Coturnix japonica: one gene and its partner. The protein of the gene in region 1 interacts with the protein of each later gene in a biochemical or structural test. Links are inferred from orthologs where the notes say so. Each region holds a gene or a part of one and is shown in the gene's direction. Other genes may lie near its edges.

Evidence for each region. The genes of interacting proteins can lie anywhere in the genome.
Region 2: the proteins of MLXIP (region 1) and MLX form a complex in vitro, tested with the Homo sapiens proteins (2 studies listed by BioGRID, with this or other methods). The link is inferred for Coturnix japonica from reciprocal best matches to the Homo sapiens genes MLXIP and MLX.

The regions. Positions count from the first base shown.
Region 1 is NC_029530.1:4,925,328-4,935,216, forward strand, and holds the start of MLXIP (MLX-interacting protein), read left to right. Parts: upstream 1-5,010; 5' UTR 5,011-5,048; coding exon 5,049-5,419; intron 5,420-9,889. UniProt on the Homo sapiens protein: Binds DNA as a heterodimer with MLX and activates transcription. Binds to the canonical E box sequence 5'-CACGTG-3'. Plays a role in transcriptional activation of glycolytic target genes. Involved in glucose-responsive gene regulation.
Region 2 is NC_029542.1:4,575,732-4,585,280, forward strand, and holds MLX (max-like protein X), read left to right. Parts: upstream 1-3,441; 5' UTR 3,442-3,557; coding exon 3,558-3,602; intron 3,603-3,683; coding exon 3,684-3,720; intron 3,721-3,797; coding exon 3,798-3,881; intron 3,882-3,989; coding exon 3,990-4,096; intron 4,097-4,257; coding exon 4,258-4,357; intron 4,358-4,501; coding exon 4,502-4,601; intron 4,602-4,848; coding exon 4,849-5,050; intron 5,051-5,525; coding exon 5,526-5,582; 3' UTR 5,583-7,050; downstream 7,051-9,549. Other genes in the region: estradiol 17-beta-dehydrogenase 1-like, read left to right, coding at 1-1, 76-246; bifunctional coenzyme A synthase-like, read left to right, coding at 536-1,124, 1,441-1,655, 1,729-1,860, 1,926-2,115, 2,216-2,280, 2,515-2,599, 2,682-2,779, 2,926-3,072 and 1 more; PSMC3IP (homologous-pairing protein 2 homolog), read right to left, coding at 7,642-7,701, 7,797-7,856, 8,101-8,154, 8,379-8,524, 8,608-8,719, 8,785-8,874, 9,008-9,111, 9,261-9,297. UniProt on the Homo sapiens protein: Transcription regulator. Forms a sequence-specific DNA-binding protein complex with MAD1, MAD4, MNT, WBSCR14 and MLXIP which recognizes the core sequence 5'-CACGTG-3'. The TCFL4-MAD1, TCFL4-MAD4, TCFL4-WBSCR14 complexes are transcriptional repressors.

The DNA.
Region 1 (9,889 bases):
AACAAAGGTTTAACTTCTCAGACACTGAAAACTTTTTTCCTGTGAAACAAACATTGAGAACTTTTAAGTTACTGTCTCTGAAATGGTTGGAGTAAACAACTCAGGAGGGGTCTACGCACTGTTTCTAAAGTCAAAATTACGATTATGTTGCTGCTGTATTATTTTTTTTGTTTGTTTTTCATTTCTCTATTTAACATTGTAAGATATTTAAGGATGGTACAGGTCAAGTATTAGCTTTCATGTGAAGTTCATTGTTCTGGCGCGATGTCTGCTTTTGTTTTGTGCCTTGTGTTCTGAAAACAGTGCTAACTTTTAACTTTTAAAAGTTGTTTTGCAACTGTCTCCTTTGCAAAGTGACCTATGTTTGTATAATGCCATGTAGAAAGGCTTTTTGGTTTATTTTTTGTTTTGTTTTGTTTTTTCTTTTCTTTTTTTGGAGGGTTAGGGAGGGGTTGTTTTATTTTATTTGTAATTCTTAAATCCCTGGTGCTTAAATTTTAACAGATACCGATCAGGAAGCCATTTTCACTCTTGGAGTCCAAGGAGAGAAAAGAGCTTGATATGTTATTTTAGCAGCTATAGTGGAGATCTTTTATTGAATGCATGGCATTCGCAACTGTAAATTTGGTCTTCTAAATACTTAACTTCATCAGAAGTTAACATGATCTGTTTACCATTTATAGTCCAGATCTGAATATATAATGTAACACAACAGTTAAAATACTTAGGTATTAGGTCCAGATCTCTGTACTGGGTACAACTTGCTTTACAGAAGAGTTCCACTATGTATATAAATAGGATCAAAGGGATTGATGCACAATGAATTTATTTTCAATTGGACTGTTTTGATATGAGATTTTCACTGAACTGGATTTCACTGTATATTTCTGTATGTTTACTTCTGTGTTCCAAGTTAATACTGGTTTTGGGATTTTTCTTTTTCCTTTCAGCAAGTCTTGTAAATAAGCCTTGTTGTTTCTGTCGTCTGTGCATCATTGATGGAAATGTTCCTTCTTTTACAATTATGTCAAACTGTGCTTATGCTGAACTTAATTGAAAAGCACTAAGCGTGTGCAACTCCCTTCGAATCAGCGGCGTTTAGAAGTGCAGAACCATCTGCAAAGGCGTCGTCTTTGGGGCCTGATCTTTCAGGTTGAGTGCCCAGTTAGAACTCAGTGTCAGTGGGAACCACTTATTTCTCACTTAATTCTCTTTACACACACACATGTGCATGTGCACGTGCGCACACGTGTATTGCTGGATCAGGCCCTTAGTCTGTCTTCACTTTGTGTGTGTGAGAGGTGGAGCTTGTAATTTAAACTATGATCTCACAGCTATGAAAATGGTTGCATATAGTTTGTAAGTTAAGAACTGTAAATACTTTTTTAAAGGAAAAAAATAAATAAAATAATCGCTTCCAGTTGATACATTTTCATAATTAGCTCTTCATCAAGCTTATTTATTTCTGAATTCTCCAATAGTGAAAATGGCTTGCACTTAGACTACTGGATTGCGTCCGCAATTACCACTTTATTATGAAAAACAATGGGGAACTTGGGGGAGGGAGTAGAGGGAGGGCAGCTGGGGGAGCCAGAACTGGCATTCCATAGGATGTTTGTAGGATTCACCTCCAAACAGCACACAACACTCAATTTCACAGCTTTTCCTTTGTGTTGAAATAAACTTTTTGGATTTTAACCGAATAAAATTTGATTGCAAAACAGCCTGTGATAGAAGCGTGCTCCCTAATAAGGCTTTGGGATTTCTGGTCTGATCACGAAGTCCATTTAATGTTCTGAAAATAAGGAAATGAGGAGCCAGAAATTATGTTTGCACAACATTATGCAATGAAATGGTGGAATTCTCTCGTGACTTGTATGTATGCCTAAAATGTGGATAACTGGTCAATGCTGATTGATTTGTATGTATATTACATTCAGATTTAAGTGATATTTTGTGAGAAGTTCTATTGATATATGAAATGGTCAAATTTAGAAAGATTCAAACTTTGGAAATATTTTTGCTTTACCGTTGGTTTGTGGGTTTTTTTTGTATTATTATTATCCTTAATGCTAAAGCAAAACAAATCTGATGCCACCTTTGACAAGCAGTCGTTTTTACTAATCCCTATCTCCAGGTGCATCGCAGCAAGTTTTTAATTCTAATTTTGTAGAGGTTTCCAAGGGAATAAATAGCTTTTTTGTTTAGGAACTAATTCCTGTACTTTAGGAAGAAATAAAATATATAAATAGCACTAAAAATACCTCAAATTTTTCATTAGATAGAAGCATTTATTGGCATTATTGACATCGACAGGTTTAATTATAAGCTTCCTTTTCTCTCCTGCGGCTTCTGCTCGGAACTGCTCATTGTTCTGGGGCTTACAAGACAAGGCATCATAATTCTATTCCTAGAGGCTTTATTTCTAAAATAGTAACGTTTCATTTACAGCTTACACAGGATACATTCAGAACTTTTATTTTTAACCAGAGATTCTAGCAACAACAGACAGCTGAACAAGCAGATAGCTTTGGGTTCCTTAGATCAGTTATTGTCATTCTCTGGGAGAAGAGACTTTGGCATTACCTGGTATGAAGAAATCCAAAATAGTGTATAAGACTGTTATTAGTCTTAGTGAAGTGCCTGATAACATTTATGGGCCAACGGATGTGATTGAACACATTTTAATGCCAGAAAGTACAGATGGGACCAAACCAGAACATCGCATTCAAACCAGTCTGAGGTTTGAAACCAGATCGAAATCCAGTTGTTTATTTTGGTTTTGTTTGGGTTTTTTGGTTCTTTTTTTTTCGGTTTGGACCTGTCTCTACCAGAAACTTGTTTGATGAACTCACTGTAAAAGGTTTCATTGAAAGCATTGAGACGTGGAGCAGGAGGAGAGATGTGATTTTCTTCAAGATGGCTGACAGTTCTCATACAGCTGATGTTCCAGAAACAGGGCAGATTTCAACAAGTGCTTCCTTGCTACAGTGCTGAATGTTGGGGCTTCAGTTACAAAACATGAAAATATATATATATATATTAAAAAAACGAAAGAAACTAGAAGCAAAGCAAGTAAATTAGCTGAGTTTGTAGAACGTGTGGGAAGGCCTTCCAAATAAGTGATTTACTCAGCCAAACATTTTATAGCAGAACTATTCCTTGGAATTTTTATGCTTGGGAAAGCAGTTGTTAAACATTCCAAAAAAAAATTTAAAAAAAAGAAAAAAAGAAAAAAAAAAAGAAAGTGCTGGCACTTAGAAAACAACAAAAAAATCCACACGGCAGTATAAAATATTGGGTTTGGGTGGCTATCTTCATACAGTTACATGGTCATGTTTTGGGATGTTCTTTCTATCTAAGGGCCTGTTAGGAGGTGTAAAGAGTTTTGTTTCCTTCAGTACCTAATCGTTTTCCATCTTATGATTTGTGTGTGTGCGTGTTGTACAGCAGTATAATTTTTCACTTATTTATTCCATCGGTAGTTATGGTTTGTACAATGTACAATGGTTTCATTTCCAAAATAAAATAATTAAAAACAAAACAATCACAACACAGAATGCTTTGTGAGTGATTTTTAAGCGAGAAATTTAACCTCAGCTTGTTTTTTAAGTTAAAAATAAATGCCCGTTTTCACAGTCTTTGGAAACACACACTCTATGGCGGTGTCTCATGTGAAATGATTTGTTTGGTTTGAGCAGAGGTTGCCTTGGTGTGTTAGCAGGGCACTGACCGGTTGGGTAATACAACAGCATCAAATGAATACAGGCAATGAAATTACAGCAGCCTGCAGAAAAACTTAGTAATGTAAAGTTTAAGGTGCTCAGCTAATGTCTGGTGGGAACTTAAACTGGAGCAGAGGGCGCAGTGTGAAGACGTGCTGCAGCTGGGAAGCGTATTTGAGTCTGATGCTGGCAAGGATATAAATTCCTCAGAGTTTTGGATGGATTCTTTGCATTCAGGGTGGACGTGAAGTGTCCTGCTTATTGTCCTGCTTATTGTCCTGCTTATTCTCAGCATTCTATGTGCTGTGTCCCAAAGTATCCTGTGGGGAGGGTGAGCTGTGAGCAGCTGCTGCTCCTTTTTGGTACCTCCCTTTCTTTTACTGGGGTGTTTGTGGGATCCTCCCATTGAACCGCTTCAATCTGCTGCCCTGGGTGAAAAACAGCTACCACAATGGGAAGGCTTATCTCGCAGTCTGTGCCATTTAGGAAGATAATCTCTTACCATTGAGGGCTGTGATGTGTGCTGCCGGTATATTTTTAAGCACCACAAATGTCTCTGGACGTCAGACTTGGTTTTAAAGACTTGTCACGGCTGGAGCCCTCATGGCAGCGATGCCTCCTCTTTGTGTGGGGGAACTGCTGCACTCAGCTGAGCTTAGGGCCGTTATTGTGAGGCAGAGCATTGCCACAGACACGCAGCTCACTCCTGGTTCTGCTCAGCACTATTACAGCCACAAGCGGTTCCGCTTTTCTGCTCAAGGCCACTTTTCTCCCCACGTGCCGCCTCGTGACCTTGTGCTGTGCCCTGGCAGCACCGCGCTGGGTGTTAAACCGAGCGGGGAACAACAGCGGGACCGTGGGATGTGGAGTCACCACCTTCCTCGGCCACGTTTGTGCCTGTGGGGCTGCGAGGGGAAAGGACACGGTGACGGCTGCGGCTCAGGGCCAACGTGTGTGTGTGTGAGGACACGAGGCGGCCCGGCCCTCACTGCACAACGACCAACCGTGAGGGAGAACCCGGCTGGAACTCGCCCCGCCGCTGCGGGACGGCGCTGTCGGGCGCAGCGCTGAGCGGGGAGCGCGGCCCGGGCGGGAACGAGGAGGGGCGGGAACGAGGAGGGGCGGGAACGAGGAGGGGCGGGAACGAGGAGGGGCGGGAACGAGGAGGGGCGGCCCGTGAGGGCGGAGCTGTGTCTGTGTCTCCGGCTCCTGGCGGCGGGGCGGAGCTGGGGGCCGGTCCGAGGCGGAGCGGGGCGGTGGCGGCGCAGAGCGGGCGGCGGGCTGGGCTGGGCTGGGCTCGGGGCCGGCGGCGGCAGCGGGGCCATGGCCGCCGACGTGTTCATGCGGCCGGCGCAGCTCCTGGGCGCGGCGGGGCCGCTGTCCCCCCGCACGGAGCCCGATGAGGACTCGTCCGACACCGACGACGGCGGCGCTTCGCCGGGAGGAGGGCGGCGGTGCGGGCCGCGGAGGGGGCAGCCCCCGGGCCCCCAGATCATCCACTCGGGTCACTTCATGGTGTCGTCGCCTCACAGCGAGCACCCTCCCAAGAAGGGCTACGACTTCGACACGGTCAACGAGCAGACCTGCCAGACATACCAGTTCGGGCCGGCCCGAGGGGGCGGCGGCGCCGGGGGGAGGCTGAGCATCGATGCGTCCCTTACGAAGCTGTTCGAGTGCATGTCCCTGGCCTACAGGTACCGGGCGTGGGGCCGAGCGGCGCCGGGGCTCGTGAGTCAGCGGCGCGGGGAAAGCCCCGAGGGAGCGGGGAGGGGCGAGGGGCCCGAGGGCGCGGGGCCGGGGCAGCGCCGGGGGCGGGCGGGGCTGTACGGAGCTGTACGGGGCTGTACGGGGCTGTACGGAGCTGTACGGGGCTGTACGGAGCTGTACGGAGCTGTACGGAGCTGTGCGGGGCTGCCGCTTCTGCACGAGAAGTTGGAGCTCCTTGCTGCGCTTAGGCCACGGTGCTGAGGCGCTTCGTGCCGTGCGGGGACAGCGCTGAGCCCGGCACATGGATCCGTCCCGCTGTGGGATCGTGGCCATGGGCGCGACGCGCAGCATCGCTGCCAGCTTTGGTGCGAGCAGCCGCCTCCAGCCCGAGCAGCGTGTGTGTGTCCCTGTGACACGGGGACTGAGCTCGGAGCTTTTTGTCCCGTTTTCTTCCTACAACTGCCTTAAAAAAGTAGAGTCTGTCATTGTTTCCTTTGTTCCGGTGGCTGCAGCTGAGCGCTGCACTTCCTGGGTTTATCGTCGCCTCGCGCTTTTCTGACTTTGGTTTTGCTTTCCATCAGTTTATTCGGATGTTACATCCACATTTAGGCCCTTTGTCTGCCTTCCAAAATGGAGGCAGAGCGATGGATCAGAAGTGTTGGGAAAGATGTGTGTCTGCACGAACCTTTTGTTCCACGCGATAGATCAGAAGCGGGATCCGCTCTGATGTTCAATATTAAGCATATTCTGGAAGTTGATTAGATGGGATGATGGAAAACTCCCCTGAGTGTTATCAGCAGTAATACTGGTCTTCGTTGATAGGAGCCATATTAACTGGAGCTGAACTTTGCCCACCCCAGGTATCTTTATTCTGTGCCATTTTACTTGGGCTCTTCTTCTGGCTTTAGAATTTATTGATTTTGAAATATTGCTCAGCAAAGAGGAAAGAATAGAACCGTCCATTTGGTACCTTTAGTGAGAAAACAGAGCTGCACGTATCCTCGCTTGGGTGATTTGTACCAGCAGGTTATTGGTTACTGATGTGAAGAGGCTTGTAACATTCTAGTGTTTACAGAACAAAATACAATTGTGACACTAAAAATCAACTGTTCTGCCTGAGAGGAATATGTGGAGGAACCAAAAGTATCACAAATGACACAGCTTCTGTGCATCTCCTCACCGGCCTCTATTACACCTGTAGGCTGAGGCTGGCTGCCTTGGCCTGTGCTCTCCTTGGGGCACATGGCACTCAGGGGGAGCAGCAAGTGCCTCTTGTGCTTCGTGTTGGTCTGAGGGGCTCTGGTTGGCTTGGGGGTGGTTTTATTGTCACCTTTGCTGTGTCATTTATCTGATGCTGACAAAAAACACAGATATCATGCTGTTTCTACTGCATGGAAACCCGTACTAGAGGAAAAACAAGAGAACAACCCCACAGCAGAAAGGTGCAGAGGTGTCTTTTGGCATCATGGCTGTTGCAGACCCAGCAAGGAAGGGCCTGAGCCAGCAAGTTGTGTTTCTGGAGCAGGTTGATAGCTGCATTAAGTACAGAAACAAGGAAACTGATGTAACAGAGCTGAGTGTGCAATATTTATTTACACTTGACGCCCATTGCTGATATCTCAGTGTTTAAAGTCTTAAAAAGAAGCACTAAATTGTGTTATCTATCAGTCCTGCTGATGAACTAGCAAAGGAAGTTTTTCTAGATTACCAGGTCAGGATGGTTTACATTTGAGATGGTCAGATTTATGCTGAATCACATTCACTTGGGGATGTGTAGCATAGCCTGGCCTCTTCTAATTGTGCTGTGTACATATATATATATATGTATGTATATGTCTTAAATAGCTTTGTTCTGTTAAGCAGCTGCCACACTTCTTTATGATTAAAAAAGAAGCTGTTTCTGACCATGATGGAAACGATTCCCTCATGCCTTCAAGCAGTGCAGACTAACCTGATTTTGATTCTCATCCTGTGTGTCTCAGTCACGTATCCATCTGCACGGGCAGAAGAACCTCGTTTCAGATGAGCCGTTTCACAGAGGAAAGCATGGCCAGAGCACGCCTGGCTGTACAGCTCCGAGATTAAAACAATCTTCTAAATCAATAAGTTACTTATAAACGCTGCAGTTTCCCGCAGGTGTCACGCGGGCTGTGCTTTATCTAAGTGTCACCAGGTTTTTTCATGAGATTGATTGTGGTAACCGTACCGTGCTGGTGGAGGTAGAAGAGCCCTGGTTTATCTCTTCCAGCCCTTTCATCTCAGTGCTGTAAAACAATGTGACCTCGTGTGTCTTTGTGTGTGTAAGCAGCACAAGTAACTGCAGCTAGTATAAGGTGGGTAGGCCACTTTATGTAGAAAGATTTAAAAAATATGCTTTCCAAAATGGAAACGACCTTTGCTATTGCTATTGTTCCTTCTCACAGTCAGAAGCTGTGCTGGTAATTGTGTGGCCCGTAAGGGTTATTACGCAGAATTACATCAAATGAAATGTAATCCTGATCCTTAATTTACTGAAACCCTTTAGGAACATTAAACTTATCCAAATATTTACATCACCCAAAAATAACTTTCCCCAAACTGAGCTATATTCCGAGATGTTTTGATTATAGCACGTTGTAATGTGAGTTGGTTGATTCTTTTTCTTGGGTTTTGGACAGAAGTATTTTTCTAAGTGTTGTTTTCAGCAGCAGAATAATGTCCAGCTCCTTGTAGTGTCCAGGCTGAAGGCTTTTGTGAGGTGGAAAAAAATGTGCTGTTAGAAAGGACGCTGCAAGCCATTAATGGCCCGATTGGGCTGGAATAATATGGGAGTGGCAGCATTCCCTGTGGAAAGCTCTGCTTTGGGAACATGCAGTGTGAGATCCCAAATCTGAAACAGGCGTGTAGAAGTGCAGAGGATCCATGCAACTGAGGGAACAGGGCAGCCAGCTGTGTGTGGTCACGTACATGGTGTAAACAAAGCACGAGCCTTATTTTAGGAATTAGTGAGCGTGAGTTGTTCTTTAATGTGGGTGGCTTTCTTTTTAAACTTCTGTTACGCGTAATTATGCCAGCTGATGTCAATCTTACTTGGCGGTAGGACATGATAGGGTAAATGAAAATGACTTTGTGGGCTTGTTTATTATTAAGTAGCCTCAGAACCCTCTCACCTTCTAATGAGAGCTTAAGGAGCGCGCCAGGTGTTGTGTTTTAGGTAAGAGTGTTAGTGCTGGCATTAGGTACTTGTTTAAAACCTTCTGGATCCTGCTTGTTAAAGTTACACGTAACATGAGTGTGAGGTGTGGGAGCCGTGGCATCAGTTTGCTTTGGAGAAGCTTGCCAGGTCGTTTCTAGATCTCATCTCTCCTCTTCAGCAATCTGACCCCATTGCTTTACGTAGATGTAAGCCAAAAACATTCCCTTTGATGCTGGACTGACATTTCGGATTGACTTCTTTCTAAAGCACATTTCCACGTGCCATGAGTGAGTGCTTTGGGAAGTTCCTGGCAATGGTGCCAGCAGGTTGGAGATAAAACGCTTCCAGAATTTATCTGTGCATTTTTATATGCTACTTGTGGCAACAGTTGTGCTCACCTCATAAATTAATCCTAACTTGAATTGAATTGCCGTGTTATGAGCGCTGGTGGGTAAGGTGTGCTATGTTCAGAACACAATGTGAATCAGGACAGTGTTACTGAGCCTATTACCTTGCTTAAGTCGAGTGCTTGATATAGTCGCAAGCTTTTAAGCTCTATTTAAGTAACTGGTAAGTTGCACCGCGACAACCTTGAGCCTCAGGAAGGTTTGCAGAAAGATTGCTGAGCTGTGCTCATTTCAGAGCTGTATTTGTTTTGCCAAAGCAAATATTTAATAGCGGTTGTGTGAAAAGGTCTTAATTAAAATTAAGGTTTTGGTGTCTTCAGTGCTTCCAAAGCCTGGGAAGAAATGATGAATTCCGAAGACAGATTTAGATGCAGGAACAACCCTTTTTTCCCCACCCGGCTCCATGCCTGCTGCTCTTGGTGGCTTGTGCTGTTGGTTGGTTTTTTTTTTGCTGTGTGGGGTGCATTGCAGAGGTGTGGTCCGCAGTAATTGCATTTATAAAAACCATGCCGTTGATATCATCTTGTGATTTACCAATCCATCTGCATGTTGGGTTGTAGTTTTCTTGTCCTGTGTTCCCAAGTAGTAAACAGATCTTATTTTCTGGCATAAATACAACACGGATTTCATAACCATCATTTTTGTTGGGTTGTCGAAATAGGGAAATGGGGAGTTAGTGTATCCTCAGGTTGCCAAGATCTTGGCTGAACTGCGAGATCTGGAATTCCTTTTTATGAGGATTTTGTATTGCGTGACTATGGTGGGCTTTGAGCGGAGTAGAATTTGGCAGCAGAAATCAGCATTTTGGTTACCTGTTTTTCTTTCTTTCCTCTGAATGGCAAGAGGAATTAAAGCCAAAAAATCCCAATTTCTCA
Region 2 (9,549 bases), on another chromosome or scaffold:
GGTCGGCGGGGCTGCGGGGCTGCGGGGCTGCGGGGCTGCGGGGCGGGCGCTGAGCGCTGAGCGGTGCCGCTGCAGGTGTTCGTGGACGCCATCGCCGCCCCGGTACCGCCCCTGCGCTGCGTCGCCGCGCGGATCCCGGCCCCGCTGTCGCGGCTGAGACCCGGCGGACCCGACGGCACCGACTACGTGCGGGCCATGCACGACTTCGTCTTCGGCCCCGGTGAAGCCGCCGAGGAGCAGCCGTGAGCGCGGCCCCGGGACGGCCCGGCAATAAAACCCCGTGTCCGCGGCTCCGGTTCGGCCTCTTTGTGAGGGACGGGGGATTGTGCACGGGGGGGCGGCACCGGAGCTGGGGGGGGGGGGGGATAGTATCGGAGCCGTTGAACGGGCGCTACCGGTCGCGGCGCCCCGCGATCCTCCCCCCGCCCGCAGCCCCCACGTTGCCGCGCAGCTCCAGGCCGCGGAGCCCGGCGGGGGCGGGGCGGGGGGCGGGACCGTGACGCGTCCGGGGTCGGTGCGATCTTCCGGCGGGGCGATGGCGCCGTTCCCGTCGGGGCTGTTGGTGCTGACGGCCCCGCTGGGCTCGTTGCCGCGTCGGGCGGCGGCGGCGCTGGCGGAGGCGGCGGGGCTGGTGACGGGGCCGCTCTACGTGCACCTGCAGCCGGGGCTGCGCCTGGACGGCCCCGCGCCGCGCCCCGCCGCCCCCCCGCGCGCCCCCGCTCTGCTCCGCGCTTTGTCCGCGCTCTACGCGGCGGCGGCGTCGCACCGGGAGCTGGACGTGCGGGTCCTGCTGGGCCACGGACACCGGCTGGCGCGGCCGCCCCGCGTGCTGCTCGCGGACGGCGGAGCCGGCGACGCGGGGCCGGTCCGGGTGGCGCTGCGGGAATTGGCCGCCGCCGCCTACGGCTGCCCGGCCGAGCTGCCCGCGGTGCTGCTCAGCGGCTCGGACGGACCCGAGGCGCCGCACGACGGCCCCGGCGCGGAGCTGCCCGTCTACTCCGACGTGGTGGTCGGCGGCACCTTCGATCGGCTGCACGGCGCCCACCGGCTGCTGCTCAGCGCCTGCTGCCTGCTGGCACGGCGGAGGCTGCTGGTCGGGGTGGCCGACGGGGAACTGCTGCGCCGTGAGTGCTGCGGGAAGCGGGGCCGGGGGGCAGCGGGGAACGGGACGGGACGGCGGTGGGGGCTGAGGGCCGCCCCTGGGCCGGGGTATGGGACAGTGTCCGGGTAGCTCAGAGCGCTCGGGGGCTGCTGGCAGGAGGGATGTGGGTCAGCACCGGTGGCGGGCACTGATCACAGGGACAGCCCAGGTCCTGCAGCTGCTGTCCTGCACAGTCCAGGGCCCTGTGGGCAGGATGGTGGTGGGGCACTGCTGGAGGGTTCCTACCATAGAACCGTTTGCTCTGCTGCTCTCACTGTTCCGTCGCGGTGCTGCTGCAGACAAAGTCCTGCGGGAGCTGATCGAGCCCTACGAGCTGCGGGTGGCCAAACTGCGGGAGTTCCTGGCAGATGTGCAGCCCTCGGTGCTGTACGACATCGTGCCTCTGGGCGACCCCTACGGCCCCGCAATCACCGACCCGGAGCTGCGCTGCATCGTGGTCAGCGAGGAGACACGCAAGGGAGGGGAGGCCGTGAACAAGAAGAGGATCGAGAACGTAACTGGAGGATCTGAGACCTCTGGGCCCCGTGGTTACATCTGGGGGGCTCAGTGGTGTCCCCTCCCGGCAGGGCCTCGCCGCACTGGAGCTCTTTGAGATCGAGCTGATGGAGGATCCCCAACACAGCCTCAGTGAGGAGGAGAAGATCAGCTCCTCCAGCCTGCGACAGCGGCTGCTCGGCACGTTGCTGCGGCCCCCACGGGTAGGGGGAGCTGCCGGGGGCTGGGAGCTGCGGGACCACCGCCCGTCTGACCCTTCCTTCCCCAGGACAGCCCCACGCTGCCCCCCCGCCCCTACATCATCGGTCTGACCGGGGGCAGCGGGAGCGGGAAGACCTCGATCGCCCGCCGCCTGGGGCAGATGGGAGCGTTCATCATCGATGCTGATGCACTGGGCCACGCTGTGTACCTGCCCGGCAGCCCGGCCCACGGGCAAGTGGTGGCTGCGTTTGGGGCAGGTGGGGCTGGGTGTGCTGCGGCACCGGCGCTGTGCCGGGACACGCTGTGCAGGTGAGTTGGATTCTTTCTGCTCCCAAATCACCTCCCTCTGTCTTGCAGAAATCTTGAACAAAGACGGGACGATCAACAGGAAGATCCTCGGGGCAAAAGTGTTTGGAAACCAGGTACGAGCAGCACAGGGAATGTCAATATTTAACCTCATGAGCAGAGAACTCTGTGCTGGCGCTTTGATTTCCAGCCCTTTGAGCTGATGCCACGTCCCTGTGCAGTAGCACACAGTAAATCAGCGGCTGTGCAGGATCCACATCCAGGCAGCAGCTGCTGTTGCTCCTCCAGCTGTGGCCCCCTCGTGGACCAACCTCTGGGAGGACCCTGACTCCGCTGCGGTTCCTTTCCAGGAGCGGCTGAAGAACCTCACAGACATCGTGTGGCCGGAGATCGCGCGGATGGTCAGGGAGCAGATCAGGGAGGCAGGAGCTCAAGGTACCGGGTGGCTCTGATTGTAGTGGGCGCTGCCGGCGCTGCCTGTGTCCGCCCGGTGACCAGGAACGGCCTCGTTCCGTAGGAAAAGCCGTGATGGTGCTGGATGCCGCCGTGCTGCTGGAGGCCGGATGGCAGGAGATGGTGCACGAGGTGTGGGCGGCCATCATCCCCGAGGACGAGGTGGGTGACTCCCCTCGGCCGCCCCGTGATCCCCGTGACCCCCCGTGACCCCCGTGATCCCCGTGACCCCCGTGATCGCCGTGATCCCCGTGATCGCCGTGACCCCCGTGATCGCCGTGACCCCCCGTCCCGTGCTGGTCCCGCAGGCGCTGAAACGCATCGTGAGCCGGGACGGGCTGAGCGAGGAGGCGGCGCGTGACCGGCTGCGGAGTCAGATGAGCGACGGGCAGCGGGTGCGGGAGGCGCATGTTGTGCTGAGCACCGCGTGGGAGCCCGACGTCACCCACAAACAGGTGAGAACGGGCCGCTGTAACGGGCCGGTGTAACGGCGCCGAGCCCCGCACGAAGCTGCTGACGGTGCCCGTTGTCAGGTGGAGAAGGCGTGGGAGCTGCTGCAGCGCCGCATCCACCGCGCGGCCACCGCAACGAGCAGCTGAACCGCAACGGGACCGAGAGGAGCCGGGACCGGGAGCGAACGGAGCGAACGGAGCGAACGGAGCCGCACAACGCGCCGGGACGGACCGGAAGCGCCGCGGCCCCGACCGGGCGGGTACGGCCCGTGCTCGGCACGGCGGGCGCTGCCGGTTCCGCGCCGTGATCCCGCAGCCGAGCGGCGGTTAAAGGGCGGTCGCAGTTTCCCGGTGTCCGTGCTGTTTGTGTCCCGTTGGTCCCGTTGTTCCCGTTGTTCCCGTTGTCCCCACGTGGCGCCCCCTCGCGGTCGGGAGGGCGGCGCTTCCCGGCGTCCCCCGCGGCTCCCACGTGACCGGGGCGGGGGAAGATGGCGGAGCCGCCCGGTGCCGCGGCGGAGGAAGCGTGGGGGAAGGTAACGGGGCGGCGGTCGGACCGTGGGGCCGAGGCCCGGAGCGCCACCATCCGCCCCGTGACCGCCGCCCTCCGCCCGCAGGTGGACGCCGCGTACGGGGACAATGTCCCGGAGCCCGGTAGGTGCCGGGGGGGGCGGTTCGATGGCGGGTGGCGGATGGGGCGGCTCCGCTGAGCGGCTCCCGCTGTCCCGCAGCGCTCGGTACGGACAGGAAGGGCAGCGTCGTGTCCCGCGCCAACAGCATCGGATCCACCAGCGCCTCGTCCGTGCCCAACACCGGTACGAACGGGGGCACCGGGCTGGAGCGGGGCGGGCGCGGGGCAACCGGGGACGGCGGCGTCCGGGGGGGCCCGTCCCGACCCGCGCTCAGCGCCGCTGTGTCCGCAGACGACGAGGACAGCGATTACCCGCAGGAGTTTTACAAGGAGTCCTACAAGGACCAGCGGCGCCGGGCGCACACGCAGGCGGAGCAGAAGCGGCGCGATGCCATCAAGGTCGGTGGGCGCCGCGCCGCGTTCCAGCCCCTCGTCCCGTGCTGGATCCGCTCCATGAGCCGCGTGTGGCTGGAGCCGCTTTGGCCGCGTGGTGGGAGCTGGGCTGTGGGTCCGTGTAACCGCTGCCGTTTGTGCCTGTTCTGCTCCCTCTGCCCCTGCAGAAAGGCTACGACGACCTGCAGGCCATCGTGCCCACCTGCCAGCAGCAGGACTTCGCCATCGGCTCCCAGAAGCTGAGCAAGGCCGTCATCCTGCAGAAGAGTGAGTGTGTGCAGGAGGCAGCAGGGCACGATCCGACCCTCAGGCACCTCAATGTGGTGATTGTGTGTGATGGTGCCTCGGGGACCGACCTCAGGGAGGTCAGAGGGGCCCCATGTGCTGCTTACTCTGTGTTTTTGTGTTCAGCCATTGATTACATTCAGTTCCTGCACAAGGAAAAGAAGAAGCAAGAAGAGGAAGTTTCTACTCTCAGGAAAGACGTGATGGCCTTGAAGATAATGAAAGTGTAAGTAAGAAGTTATTTGGTTGCTGCCCCCTTCTTCCTGCTGTTTTTCCCCATGTCCCTGCAAAGCTCCCCCGATGTGCTCAGTGCTCTGTGTGCAGTCTGGCACCTGGGGTCGTACCAAATTGCCTCCAGTTCTGAAGCTGTTTTCAGTGTCCAGTTACTGGCAGCAGCTTCTGCCCCCGCTGTCGCCCAGCTGCTGTGCAGTACGAGGCTTCGATAGCACTGAGCCCCAAACTTGGTGTTTCAGGAACTATGAGCAGATCGTAAAAGCTCACCAGGACAACCCGAGTGAGGGGAAGGACCAGGTCTCTGACCAGGTGAAATTCAACGTTTTCCAAGGCATTATGGATTCCCTCTTTGAGTCCTTTAATGCCTCCATCTCAGTCACGAGTTTTCAAGAGCTGTCAGCATGTGTCTTCAGCTGGATTGAGGAGCACTGTAAGCCCCATGTGAGTACAGCAGACACAGGGGGGTTGATATAAGAGCAGAGGCTGTTGTGTATGGCTGCACCTGTCTGGAGTGTAGGCCTGTGTGCAGCTTTTCTTTCGCCTGGGCCTTCAGAAAGGCAGAATGTGGCTGACACTGGACCTGGGGCATGGGAGCTTGGGTTCCTCTCATTTCCCAGCTGCTTGGCAGTGAAATTCAGACACTGAAAAACAGAGCTTACAAAGAGGGTGCTTGTTCCCCAGCACTTTGTTCCATAAGACACTTAGAAGTTAGGAGGGAAGAGAATGAGCTGCATGGGCAGGGCCAGGTCCTTGTTGTGCTGTGGCTGCCTGGAGCCCTGCAGCCTGAGAACACAGACAGGCGATCGTTTCCCATACAGGTGCTGAGATCTGTGGCACCAGGTGCTGTCTGTAGCATTGAGCATGGGAAAGGCTTTTCCTCCCCTGAACAACTGACTGTGTCTCCTCTCTGCCCCAGACCCTACGGGACATTGTCATCGGGGTCCTGCACCAGGTGAAGAGTCAGCTGTACTGAGCATCCCTCGCTGGAGCACCTCCCGACCGGGTGACAGCTGCCAGGAGAGGCTGGACCATCTCCCTTGTGCTGGTCCTTAAAGCTTCTTCGATTATTTATTGTCACTACAAAACCAAACCAAAGCTGTGCAAACAGGTACTGTCACAGTCAACGTTACCAAATACTGCTAAGGACTTAGTGAAGGGAAAGAAATAAGTGTGTATTGAATATAGATCTTTTAAGTTGCCAGTGTCTTTAGCTCAGGCAGGTGGTTGCAGTTGGGTTTATCTGTGCCACTGATTTCAGGGCTGCAGCTCAGCAGGTGAATCTGCTCTGTAACCTCACACCTGATATAAACCCTATTGAACCTGGGAGCAGGGAGAAATAGGAGAGTGCTAAAAGCTGTTGCTGTGCTAATGCAGCTCAGGAATAGGGTTATTCTGCAGCTGCAGGTTTTCAATACCTCCCTCTGAAGCAGCTCTTAGAAAAGCAAGAGTCTGCTTTTAATTTCTGTAGCTGCTTTGGAGAAGGCCCGGGAGAACTGAGGGCAGGTTTATTAGCATGTCACTGCCAGGGCAATGCTCATTACATGGAGCAGCAAGCGAGCTCTGTGCTGAAGGAGTGCCCTGGGGCCTCGCTGTGCTGACTCTTCAGTAACACCCCTGAATGGGAAAGGAGTGAACTTTCATTGCAGCCTTTTCCTCCTTGTTCTGATGAGTGCTGAATTGGGCCTGGCTTTATCTTTTTCTGGGTTGTGATGTGGCCACACTGAACAGGAAAGTTCAGTAGCTGCAGCACAGCATTACTCTGAGTTCACACTGCTGTTCCTTAGCACCATGATTTTATGTGGGTATATATATTTATATACATGTAACCAGCCTTGATTTTATTTTATAGATCACTGAAATCATTGTAAAGTGTAATCAATGCCAGTTTTGCAGTGTCTCACTTGCCACACGCTGCTGCTGTCAGTGTGAATCAGCAAACCAAGCACAATGATGGCATTGGACAGCATCACCCTCCATGGCATTGACACATACAGCAGGACTTGTTCTCTAGTCGTGTTCTTGCTACCACTCCAACAGTAGCAACTATTTATTTTATGTTGTTTTTCCACTGTAGATGAGGTAATGCTAAGTTTCTCAGCTCCGGGTTGCTTGATTTTTGAATGCTGCAGCTGGAGATGGTTGAAGCTGTTGCTTCTGTTTGACTTAAATGAAGAAAAGCTTTTTGGTGGGGTTGATTTTTAGATGAAATTGTTTTTCCAAACCCTGTGACCTTTTGGATATAATACAATAGAAGCCCAGTAGGAGTCAGACCCTGTGGTGTCGCACACAACTGATGACACGTACAGGGCACAGCTTAATTTCCTTTAGATGCAACCTCTTGCCTTGAGAGGAAGATGCGGATTTTTACAGACCTCATATGTGAAAGTGACATATTTTTCTATTATGGAAAATGATTAAATAAATTTTGCTGAATGTTTTAATGGCTCTTCTGCTTTTATTTCTGGTGCTGTGTGCCTGGAGACTTTAATGGGATCAGGTAAGGGCTGCACCCACTGCAGCTGTGGCTCACGGACCACGTCCAAGGCCAGCCCTGCTACCCTCTCAACACAGAAGACACCACAGCAGAGCACATCTGGAACAGAAGGATGGTGTTTAATGAATCGTGGGGTTGTGTACAACTCTGTACATACTGTGGGAAGCAGCTCCCTCCATGTATGGAGTTTACAGAAATATGGGCCATAATGGTAATTCGTTCCTTCACCTCCGTGAGGTGCTTCCTTCCTGTTCTTATCAACACACCATCCCTGTAACCCAGTGCTCTTACACCCTCCCAGTCACTGCCTAGTGAAGAAGCCCAACCAAAATGGAGAGGGTCCACTGCTGAGTCAATTGCTCTGAACTTCCCTTCCAGGGGCAAAGCACTTTTAAACAAAAATATATAAAAGTGCAGAACAAGCACAAGCCCTGGAAAAAAATTACAGAAGAAAACGAACCTAAAACCCAACAACTGAGTTTCAGCATTGGATCCACCACCATGTGTTCTCTGTAAAGCAATGAGATCCACCTGCACCTCACAGAGCTGCTGGGAGTGTAACATTGTGCTCCTCATCAGTTTCTATTCCAACCTCCTCCTGCACGAGGACAAAGTGCTCCTGTAGCAGACGGCTGCCCTCTGACACAGCAGGCGCAGCTGCCCTGGGACACAAGCAGAAGCAGGGGGACTTACAAAGAATTGCTTCTTGCTTTTGGGGTATCCCTCCAGGATGGCATCGAGCAGCTCGGTTGCCTGGCAGGACAGAGAAGTTAGATGAGATTTGCAGGACTGATGCTGAGCTTTCTGCCACAGCTGTGGGATACTGCCTCCCATACAGGGAGCCAACACAGCTGTTCCCACATTAACCCCTGCACAGGGATGCAAGAGCTTGTTTTGTTTCCCCAAGAACAAATAAAAGACTGTGCCCGCTCCACTGTCACTGTGGGTTTGCCACTGACATTTCTGCCCACCTCACGTTCAATGGGGAAACCATTACCATCCGCTTCCTCCTCCGCCACTCCTTGCAGTACAGCTTGTGCTCGCTGCAGACCTGTCAAAGGAAAGGCAAAGTGAGAACAACTCAGCCAGCAGCCACTGCATTGAGTGTCTGTGAGCTCAAAGCCAGGAGATGGATTGGTAGCGCCCAGTGACTGGACAAAGATTTGCAAGGAAAGGACAACTTGTGCTATTCCAAGTTGCTCTGAGCAGCCTCGATGCAGACTGTGCTGTACGTTCCTACGTTCCTCACTCCCCCAACCCCCCCCAGCTCTTCACCTTCTCTTTTTCCTCTGGCGTTACGTGGTTGGTGGCAGACTTGATCCTCTCCAGTTTCTCCGTGTAACTGCTGCAGTCCTTCCTCAGCTCTTCAACCTCCCGGGCCATGTCCGTCGTGGTCATGGTGCCGTTCAGCTCCTTCAGCTCTGGAGGGCGGCGCCGATCACCGGCTCGGCCGGTCCCCGCGGTGCCCACGGCCGCCCGCGGTCGGTGCCGTGTGGGCGCTCACCTGCCTCCAGCTGCCGGCAGTTGTTCAGCAGCTCCTGCAGCTCCCGGGATCGCGCGGTGATGTCGGCGTCCAACGCACGAAGCTCCGCATCGCCCGCGGCCGGGAGCTGCTCCTGGGGGCGGGGGGGGCTCAGCGGGGCCGGGGGGGGCGGGGGGCGCGGCCGGTGCCGGGTCTCACCTGGTCGGCGAAGTAAATCTTGTGTTTGCCGTACGGCTTCTCACGGACACGGCCCTGCTGAGCCAGCTGCTCCAGCGCCTTCAGCACGGCCTGGACGGCGGGACAGAGCCACGTCAGCACCGACACCGGGAGCACCGACAGACACCGACAGCCCCAACAGACACCGCCATTCCCGCACTGAGCCCCGCTCCGTGGTTCGGTCTCCCGGCCGTTTCCCGCTCACCGCTTTGCCCATCCCGGTCTCCCGCTGCAGGTTCCCGTGCACATCCTGCGCGCTGTACGGCCGGTTCTGCTCCCGCAGGTAACGCAGCACGACGGCACCGGGCCCTGCGGGACAGCAACGCTCGCACCGTGTCCGCCCAGGAGCGGCTCCTGTCCGTTCCGTCCCCCCCCCCCCGTTCACGTTCCGTTCCGTCCCGTCCCGTCCCGTCCCGTCCCGTCCCGTCCCGTCCCGTCCCGTTCCGTTCCCCGCTCCCCTCCGCTCCCCTCGGGTCCCTCCCGCCCTTTGCTCATCTTCTTCCCGCGCCCCGCTCAGATGCTGTGACGCACTTCCGGCGCGACGCACCGCTAAGGAGAGGCGCTTCCTGTTCCGCCCCGCTTCCGCCCCGCTTCCGGTCGCGGCCCTCGGGCAGTTCCGGTGCCCTTTGTGGCCGCCGTGGCCGTCCCGCTTTCAGGGCGCTCCCCCACAGCCGCTGTCGGCGTCAACTCACCCGATACGGGGCGGCTTTAAACGGGGCGGAACGATCCGGGCCGGGCCGCGGGCAC